2 linked regions of the Macaca mulatta genome follow. The main gene of each other region encodes a partner of the protein of the gene in region 2 in a complex. Links are inferred from orthologs where the notes say so. Each region holds a gene or a part of one and is shown on either strand. Other genes may lie near its edges.

Region 1 (4,469 bases), on a different chromosome or scaffold from region 2:
GTCAGAAGATCGAGACCATCCTGGCTAACACGATGAAACCCCATCTCTACTAAAAATACAAAGAACTAGCTGGGTGCAGTACCGGGCCCCTGTAATACCAGCTACTTGGGAAGCTGAGGCAGGAGAATGGCGTGAACCCAGGAGGCGAAGCTTGCAGTGAGCCGTGATTGCACCACTGCACTCCAGCCTGGGCGATAGAGCGAGACTCCGTCTCAAAAAAAAAAAAGAAAAAAAAAATAATAAAATAAATTCAACTACTATTACTTAATAGCAACAAATGTTGAAATACAGGCTCAGAGAAGTTAATGATTTCTGTCTGGTCAGGCAGCCAGCAAATGGCAGAGATAGGACTTAAACTCTGGGCAACTGCATTCTGCCATCCTTCCTGTACAACTCTGAGGAACCGAGAGTCTTGAATCTTGGAGGATGTTCAAAACAATTTTTTTTTTTGTTTTTAGACAGGGTCTCACTCTGTTGGCAGGGCTGGAGTGCAGTGGCTCAATCATGGCTTACAGTAATGTCTGCCTCCTGGATTCAAGGGATTCTCCTCCTGCCTCAGCCTTTTGAGTAGGTGGGATTAAAAGTGCCTGCCACAGTTTTTCAGCTAATTTTTGTATTTTTAGTAGAGATGGGGTTTCGCCATGTTGGTCAGAGTGGTCTTGAACTCCCAACCTCAAGTGATACTCCTACTCTGGCCTCCCCAAGTGCTGGGATTACAGGCATGAGCCATGGCACCTGGTCCCAAACAAATTGTTTGTTTGTTTTTTTTTTTTTTGAGACGGAGTCTCGCTCTGTCACCCAGGCTGGAGTGCAGTGGCGCGATCTCGGCTCACTGCAAGCTCCGCCTCCCGGGTTCACGCCATTCTCCTGCCTCAGCCTTCCGAGTAGCTGGGACTACAGATGCCCGCCACCACGCCCGGCTAATTTTTTGTGTAATTTTTTTAGTAGAGATGGGGTTTCACCATGTTAGCCAAGATGGTCTCGATCTCCTGATCTCGTGATCCTCCCGCCTCGGCCTCCCAAAGTGCTGGGATTACAGGCGTGAGCCACCGCGCCCGGCCACAAATTGTTTTAAGACCAGGTCTCGCTATATTTCCCCGCTGCACTTGAACTCCTGGGCTCAAGCAATCCTCCTGCTGTGGCTCCTGAGTAGCCGGGACTACAGACTCAAGCCACCATGCCTGGCCACATTCCACAATTTGGAGAAAGGCCACAACCTGGAATCCTAGGGAGACCCCATTGCACCTCAAAACTGCCACTAAGGAGGGAAAACGCTGCCCCTCTGAGACAGGCGTCAGTTTTCCCGTGTGTGAAATTGACCTGGCGCTGGGAGAGGCTGGTGGAGGCTTGGATGTTGCAGTTTCTCTACAACATTCTGGAAGCCTGTGGTTCTGGGAAAGGGTGGTGTGGAGAAGACTGGGAAACAGTCAGTGGTTACCAGACCTGTCAGCACCTCCTCCACCTCGGAGCTCTGGGGCTGGGAGTCCCCAGGCTTCGGGGGGCCCCTGTGGAGGACACAGGTGGCCCCCTCCTTCCTGACATCTCAGGAGAGGGAGGGGGCAACCACCTAGGGGAAGAAAGGAATAGACAGGTTATAGAGGCAAGTGGGGGAGGGGTCAAATCCCTGAACACCCCCTCCCCAGAGTTCCTCTTGAAGTTCAGGGTACCCAAGAGTCAAGGCCCCGCCCCCTTTCCAGAGGCCCCTTTTCTACCCAGGTGATGGCTCCTGGCTGGGATGGGAAGCAGATGGAGGGAGGGGAGGGGAGAAGAGGGGAAGGGAGAGGCAGTGGATGAAGCAGGCTGGAAGAGATGACATCCCCCTCGGCCCATTCATCTCCCAGAGGGGGCGGAACTGACCTGGACACCTGGGTCCCTGAGGGCCCACACTCAAGAAGCCCTGGTTCCCCAAGCTGCTTCCTGGAATGTTCCCTCCTCACAGGACAGGCCAGGGCCCGCCCAAGACTTCTGCACATACCTGGAGTGACTGCCTGCCCTGGCTCCTCCGTACAGGAAAGGGGAAGGGTGGAGAGTGAAAGGAGCCCAGGCTGACCCAACCAGGACTGCCTTCTCCTTCACACCCCAGGGCCTCCACCTTCAGACCCAGGAGTTCAGATCCCCAGCGCCCTCCTCCCTCAGACCCAGGAGGAATCCAGGCCCCCAGCACCCTTCTCCCTCAGACCCAGGAGGAGTCCAGGACCAGGCCCCCAGCACCCTTCTCCCTCAGACCCAGGAGGAGTCCAGGACCAGGCCCCCAGCACCCTTCTCCCTCAGACCTAGGAGTCCAGGCCCCCAGCGCCCTCCTCCCTCAGACCCAGGAGTCCAGGCCCCCAGCGCCCTCCTCCCTCAGACCCAGGAGTCCATGCCCCCAGCACCCTTCTCCCTCAGACCCAGGAGTCCATGCCCCCAGCGCCCTCCTCCCTCAGACCCAGGAGTCCATGCCCCCAGCACCCTTCTCCCTCAGACCTAGGAGTCCAGGCCCCCAGCGCCCTCCTCCTTCAGACCCAGGAGTCCATGCCCCCAGCACCCTTCTCCCTCAGACCTAGGAGTCCAGGCCCCCAGCACCCTTCTCCCTCAGACCCAGGAATCCAGGCTCCCAGCGCCCTCCTCCCTCAGACCCAGGAGTTCTGGAATTCAGGCTCCTCCTTCTCGGGTACTAAGAAATGCAGACTCCGGGTTCCTCATCCTCCAGATTTGGGTGGGGGGTCTGGACTCCTGAGACCCCTCAGGGGAAACCGGCTGCGTATCTGGGACACTTCCCTCCTGCCTCAGTTTCCTCAGCCAAGCCCCGCCCCCGTCGGCCCCGCCCCCGTCCCTCCCCACCCGAGGGCAGGGCGACCAGGACGCCGGAATCCCGGGGGAGGAGGCGCGGAGCTCTTACCTGGGGCGCCCTCTTCGGCTCCCCCAGCTGCCCTCGGCCCAGCAGCAGCTCCTCCTCCTGCTCGCTGGCTGCAGGGACGCTCGCTGGCCCGCCGGCTGCTCGCTGCTCACTCTCGGCAGGGCCCGGGTCGGGGGCGGGGGCGGGGCGGCGCCGGACGGCAGAGGAGGGGCCGGGGGATCCTGCCTTGTACAGGCGTGCCGGGACCTTGGAAGCCAGGCCTGGCTCGTTCAACCCGGCCGCATTGGTCACAGGAGTCCCAGTCTCCAGCTGCCTCCTCCTTTAGACCTAGTAGTCCAGGTCCCCAGCCCCTCCTCCCTCAGACCCAGGAGTCCAGGCATCCAGCCCCTCCTCCCTCAGACCCGGGACTTGCGACCCCAGCCACTTCTCCCCCGAGCCCCAGGCGCCTGAGTACTAAGCCCACAGTTCCCCCCACCACCTCCCAACCCCGCCCCGTCTCAGACTCAGGAGTCCAGCCCCCAGCCTCCTCCTCCATTAGCCCCAGGAGTCTGGGCCTGAGATTCCTTTGCCGTCTTTTGCCAATTGCGTGTCAATCCCGGGGCAGATTCCCACTCTCTGCTCTCCTCCCCACTTCCCAGGAGCTCCACGCCAGACATTAACCAGCTGGGCTTGGGCAGTGATAAGGCCCCAGGCCCGGGGAGACAGTGGATGTGGGGGCTCCCGCATACTCCTCTCCCCTGGAATTTCCTGGATGGGGACCGGGGAGAGGGTCTTGTCCTGAGCTCAGATAAGAGACATGCAAGGTATTATAGGACCCAGAGATAGACAGATGTGTCTTAAGAACAATCAGCTCCTTCCAGAAATGGTGCGCGGTGACAGATGAAGGCATGGAAAAGTGGGGAGAGACCAAAAGAAAGAGGGGGATCAAGACTAGAGAGAGTGGGGGAGGGCAGAAGCCCAGAGAGAAGACAGAGGCCCAGAGAGACTGAGGGCAGACCCTCCGGAGAAGGGGACAGAGCCCCTGAGAGACCCTCAGAAAGACAGGGATGGGATCGGAGCTAGAGCGTCTCAGGACAGTCATGAGGGCAGCCGGGCTCCTCACCCCACCACACCTCCACCCTGAGACTCTGCCTCCCTCTGCCTGTGCTATTTTCAGAAGGAAAATTGACACCTGCCTCAGGGGTCATCCCACACCCCCTCAGCCTAAATATAGCATGGCAAGGTGGCAGGAGGGTGTCCCCGGTTAGGGTGTTTCCTGCTCCTCACAGTTATTTATTGGTGGGGGGAAGGGCCACTTCCCAGGCTTTGGGTGTGTGTTCGGGTCACCTCTCTGGCTTCTCCACATTTCCCTGTTCCTAAACACCCAATACATCCTGCCCCATAGCAGGAGGACTCTAGACTCTAGCTTCTAGCTTCTAGTCCTGGAGGGGATAGTAGGGATGAGGTTTCCAAACAGAGTGACTGAGAAACAGTCTCTGTCCTCTCCCTGTCTGGATCTCTGTCCTCCTGTCTCTGGATTTCTGTCTCCCTCCAACTCTGGGTCTGTCCTTTTCTCTCTGGGTCTCTGTCCCCCCCTCTCTCTGAGTCTCTGGCCCCCTCTCTCTCTGGATCTCTGGCCCCCTTCTCTGTGGTC
Region 2 (3,807 bases):
TACAAGATTTTCTGCCACACAAGAGATTTGCTTCCCACTGTCATCAGATGAAATGTTAGTTATCCTTAAGGAGCCCTGTGTGTGGCTTGTTTCATTCTACAAACGAATTAACAGACAAAAATAACCTTGATTAGGATTGATCCCAAAGTGACAAGATTTGGGGTTTCTTCCCCTAACTAGAGAAAAAAACAAATATATAAATATAATATAATATAATATAATATATAGCATTAGAAAAACTTCTCTGCCTGAAATAGGCTCAGGCAAAGAAGTAAATCAGAAGTTATTCTATTTCTCTAGGTTTCAGTTGCTAAGTGCATGAGGTTGACTTGATCCCTGAATTCCCTCCAAGGGAGAAGACCACAGGGAAAGTCACTCGCTTTGTTCAGGATGATGCAAAGAGCTCACTAGGGATATAAAGACTCCTTGCTCTCTTAGGTATGCATAACTAAAATGCAAGCCTGCATTAGTCTTTGTTAATTAAGAATAAGTAGAAAGTAAATGTACATCAAAAACTCTTTGTAAATTTCTATATGTAGCCCTATAAAATATCAAATGATCATCACTAGGTTTAATACATTCTCACATTCTGAAACACTCTTGTCTCTCTATTAAGACACAGCCAAACACAAGCCTTACCATATGTTTGGAAACCAGATTACCAACATCCCAATACATATTAGGAACCGGATCGCCTGCCACACTACAGGATAACGTGATAGACTTTCCTTCCTCCACAGTGAGGTTAGGTGCGGCCAAATTTGCAGATGGTAAACCTATGGAACAAGAAAAGTAAACAGAGGCATATGCAAATAGTTAAATGCAGTATCAAACTAAAAGCAATAAATTGAAAACTGTTTATGCTTTAAAAATCAATCTTTAATTGCTTTTTGAGACTGATTTATGTTGATCTGAAAAAGTGCCACTTTGATCAGCTTCATAGATTTAACATAAATCAAAAAAAGCTATAAGTAGATTTCAAAATAAATTATGCACATTTCTTATAGCATTAATGCCTAATAACCTTTTATTTTAAGAACACTAGTATAAAGAACTGTCTTCCACCTCTTTTTCTGTTCTACAGTTACTAATCCAGTTTTTGCACATAAACAGAGATTGTACCTATGGACTGACATCATGTCTTTTATTTCCTTCTGTCTCCTACCCCCTATTTTTTTTTAATGCTCAAGAACACAAAAGGGTGAGATGCAGCTATGTTGTTTTTGCAAAAATCTGTTTTTTGCTTTAAGTAACTCTCACAAATGTAACCCTCTACCAGACACAGATTTTGAAAGACTCATTCTATTGAAGAAAATGTAGTTTCAAAGCATTTTTCAAAGACAGGCAGTTTGAACTATTAGTGTTAGAATGTTTCAAAGTTACGTAAATCGTAGTTGAATATTATAGGTAAAACTGCTATCTTATTTAGAATATAATGAAAATGGGTATATGGACTCATTTCAGTGAAAAGTTCTTTTTATTGGAAAGACTCTGAGAATGTACTTATCAGATGAAACTTTGAACCTTATAAACATTTTTTAATAGTGCAGCAAGGCATCATTTTTATATTTTTATATTTCAAAAGCTATGTGTAATTTTAGGGATGCTGCTATCACTTCATGAAATTATCACACCAACTGAGTGTGGACACCGCTTTAAACTGCATAAGAATCATGGTATTTTTTACACGTAGGCATATCTTAGAGGGTATAACAATATGTCAGGACCTGCTAGTGGAGGCTGTCCCTCTCTTGGTGTCAGGAACTCTGCTTGGGACTGTAGTCACCTGACAGTTATATCCTGCAGAACTATGATACAGCATTAAGTCAGATCAGAACCTGGAGGTCAAAGAAGGCGATTCATTTTCAACAACTGTTAAATTGCAATTAACCCACCCACCTGGCAATATTTGACCCGTCATCTTCACATTATTATGGATAAACCCTTCTCTTATCATGTATTCCTACTGGCAAAGCCATCTTTCTTTATTAGTGAAATCAGACTGGAATAAGATTTATACAGTCTGTATCTCATGGTTTTCCCACCACTGGGAGAGGATTCCCCAATAAGATCTGGCTTTCAGGGGCTAGTGAGACCCCCTTCCAAACTCTTCCTTCCCGTGAGCATCCAATAGAGACCAATGTTACATCTTTCGTGGGGTTTCAAGAAAAAAAAAAAAAGCCCCTAATAGCCAGAGTTATACAGAGCAATGAAATATATAACAATGATTAACAGAGAGTGTAATACAAGCCCCACACCCTAAACCTGGCACATACTAACTTTGTGGCCTTGGATGAGTCTGTTGTTTTTCTCAATGTGTTTTCTTCACAACTTCTATGACAATTAAGCTGTTCAATTTATTAGGGAGCGTGTCAAGGCAAAATAGAAGAAATGGGCTTACTTAGTGAAAAATCCCCTTGAAGTCAATGGCATAATCTGGGTGACTTTTAAAAATATGTATATACTTAATTTTGTTTTTCAAAAATCAAATATTTAATCACATAGTTTGAAGAGTTGATAATTCTATAAAACTTATGAAAAAGATTCAAGCTACTGTGTGTGAAAAACAGTAGTCCCACCTTACCCATGTGGCACTATTTCCTATTCCCAGAGGCACCCATTTCATCTCCTTTAACTTCTTCTTTGGGCATTGCTCTGCTCATCACTAAGCATTACTCTTTATTGCTACTTCTTGGTTTTCCTGTTTCAGCAGTATCTGCTGACCTCCCACTGTGGAAGATGAGATAGGGGCTCCCTTTCACACAGAATGACAGCTCTCCTCAGGCCCCCACCACATTCAACATACTCTGTCTTCACACTTTTTCATGTGCTATAATTGTCTCAGTGGAGACATAAAGATGATTACGAGTATGTGGCCAGGTACAGCTCATGCCTGTAATCCCAGTACTTTGGGAGGCTGAGGCAGTTGGATCACGAGGTCAGGAGATCGAGACCAGCTTAACCAACATAGTGAAACCCCATCTCTACTAAAAAATACAAAAAATTAGCCGTGTGTATGGTGGCAGGCACCTGTAATCCTAGCTAATGGGGAGGCTGAGGCAGGAGAATCGCTTGAACCCGGGAGGCGGAGCTTGCAGTGAGCCAAGCTCGTGCCATTGCACTCCAGTCTGGGCAGCAGTGCAAGACTCCATCTCAAAAAAAAAAAAAAAATTATTATGAGTATGCAAGCCTTACTAACACCAGAACCATCTAATATGCAATACTTACTTTATTTCACCAAATTTAAAACAGTATTAATTACAGGTTGCAACATTGCTATTATGTACCACTATGAAAGGAAAAAAATGTGCCAATATAACTATAACACATGCTTTCTTACCACTTAGAACTATTGCTTGGAGGTTGGACCTTATAGATAGCCCATTTAATTCTCCATTCCTTTCCTATTTTCCAACTTTTGATTTATTTGCTCTATTTGCAGGGAGAGTTTTTTAGATTAATTTTTAAAGCCTGCTTTTAAGGTTGTTCATTCCTCTATCATATTTTTTATTCCCAAGGCTCTTCTTTTGTTCCTGAATGTTCTTATTTTATAGCACCTTCTTCTTGTTCCATGGATGCAATATCTCTTACGATTTCTATGATATATTTATAATCATTTCTTGAATTTTTCTTTTCTCTATATCAGTTTTGTTTCTAGCAATTTTTTTTCTCTCTCTTTCTTTGTTGCTTTTGTGTTTGTCTTTCAATTACAAGCTTTCCTCAATTATGTCTGGCTATTCATACATCTTTAAGATTGAGGTACTAGAAGCGTTGCACAAATTTATGAATTGTCAGCTTCATTGTAGG

Evidence for each region.
Region 1: the proteins of NTRK2 (region 2) and NTF4 are in contact, whole or in part, in a crystal structure (PDB 1HCF), measured with the Homo sapiens proteins. The link is inferred for Macaca mulatta from reciprocal best matches to the Homo sapiens genes NTRK2 and NTF4. Residues at the interface, in NP_001018074.1 of Homo sapiens: Phe291, Glu293, Thr296, Ser297, Asp298, His299, Cys302, Pro304, Thr306, His335, Val336, His343, Gly344, Cys345, Asn350, Thr352, His353, Met379, Gly380, Trp381, Pro382, Gly383; in NP_001382418.1 of Homo sapiens: Gly81, Val82, Ser83, Glu84, Thr85, Ala86, Ser89, Arg90, Arg91, Gly92, Glu93, Leu94, Ala95, Asp98, Ala99, Ser101, Gly102, Trp103, Thr105, Tyr135, Phe137.

The regions. Positions count from the first base shown.
Region 1 is NC_133424.1:61,511,167-61,515,635, forward strand, and holds the start of NTF4 (neurotrophin-4 precursor), read right to left. Parts: upstream 2,983-4,469; 5' UTR 2,879-2,982; intron 2,747-2,878; exon of another isoform or gene 2,578-2,746; intron 2,540-2,577; exon of another isoform or gene 2,464-2,539; intron 2,274-2,463; exon of another isoform or gene 2,001-2,273; 5' UTR 1,858-2,000; exon of another isoform or gene 1,568-1,857; 5' UTR 1,444-1,567; exon of another isoform or gene 1,321-1,443; intron 1-1,320. UniProt on the Homo sapiens protein: Target-derived survival factor for peripheral sensory sympathetic neurons. May promote ameloblast differentiation and subsequent reduction in proliferation of ameloblasts.
Region 2 is NC_133420.1:115,658,505-115,662,311, reverse strand, and holds part of NTRK2 (BDNF/NT-3 growth factors receptor precursor), read right to left. Parts: intron 777-3,807; coding exon 640-776; intron 97-639; coding exon 1-96. UniProt on the Homo sapiens protein: Receptor tyrosine kinase involved in the development and the maturation of the central and the peripheral nervous systems through regulation of neuron survival, proliferation, migration, differentiation, and synapse formation and plasticity.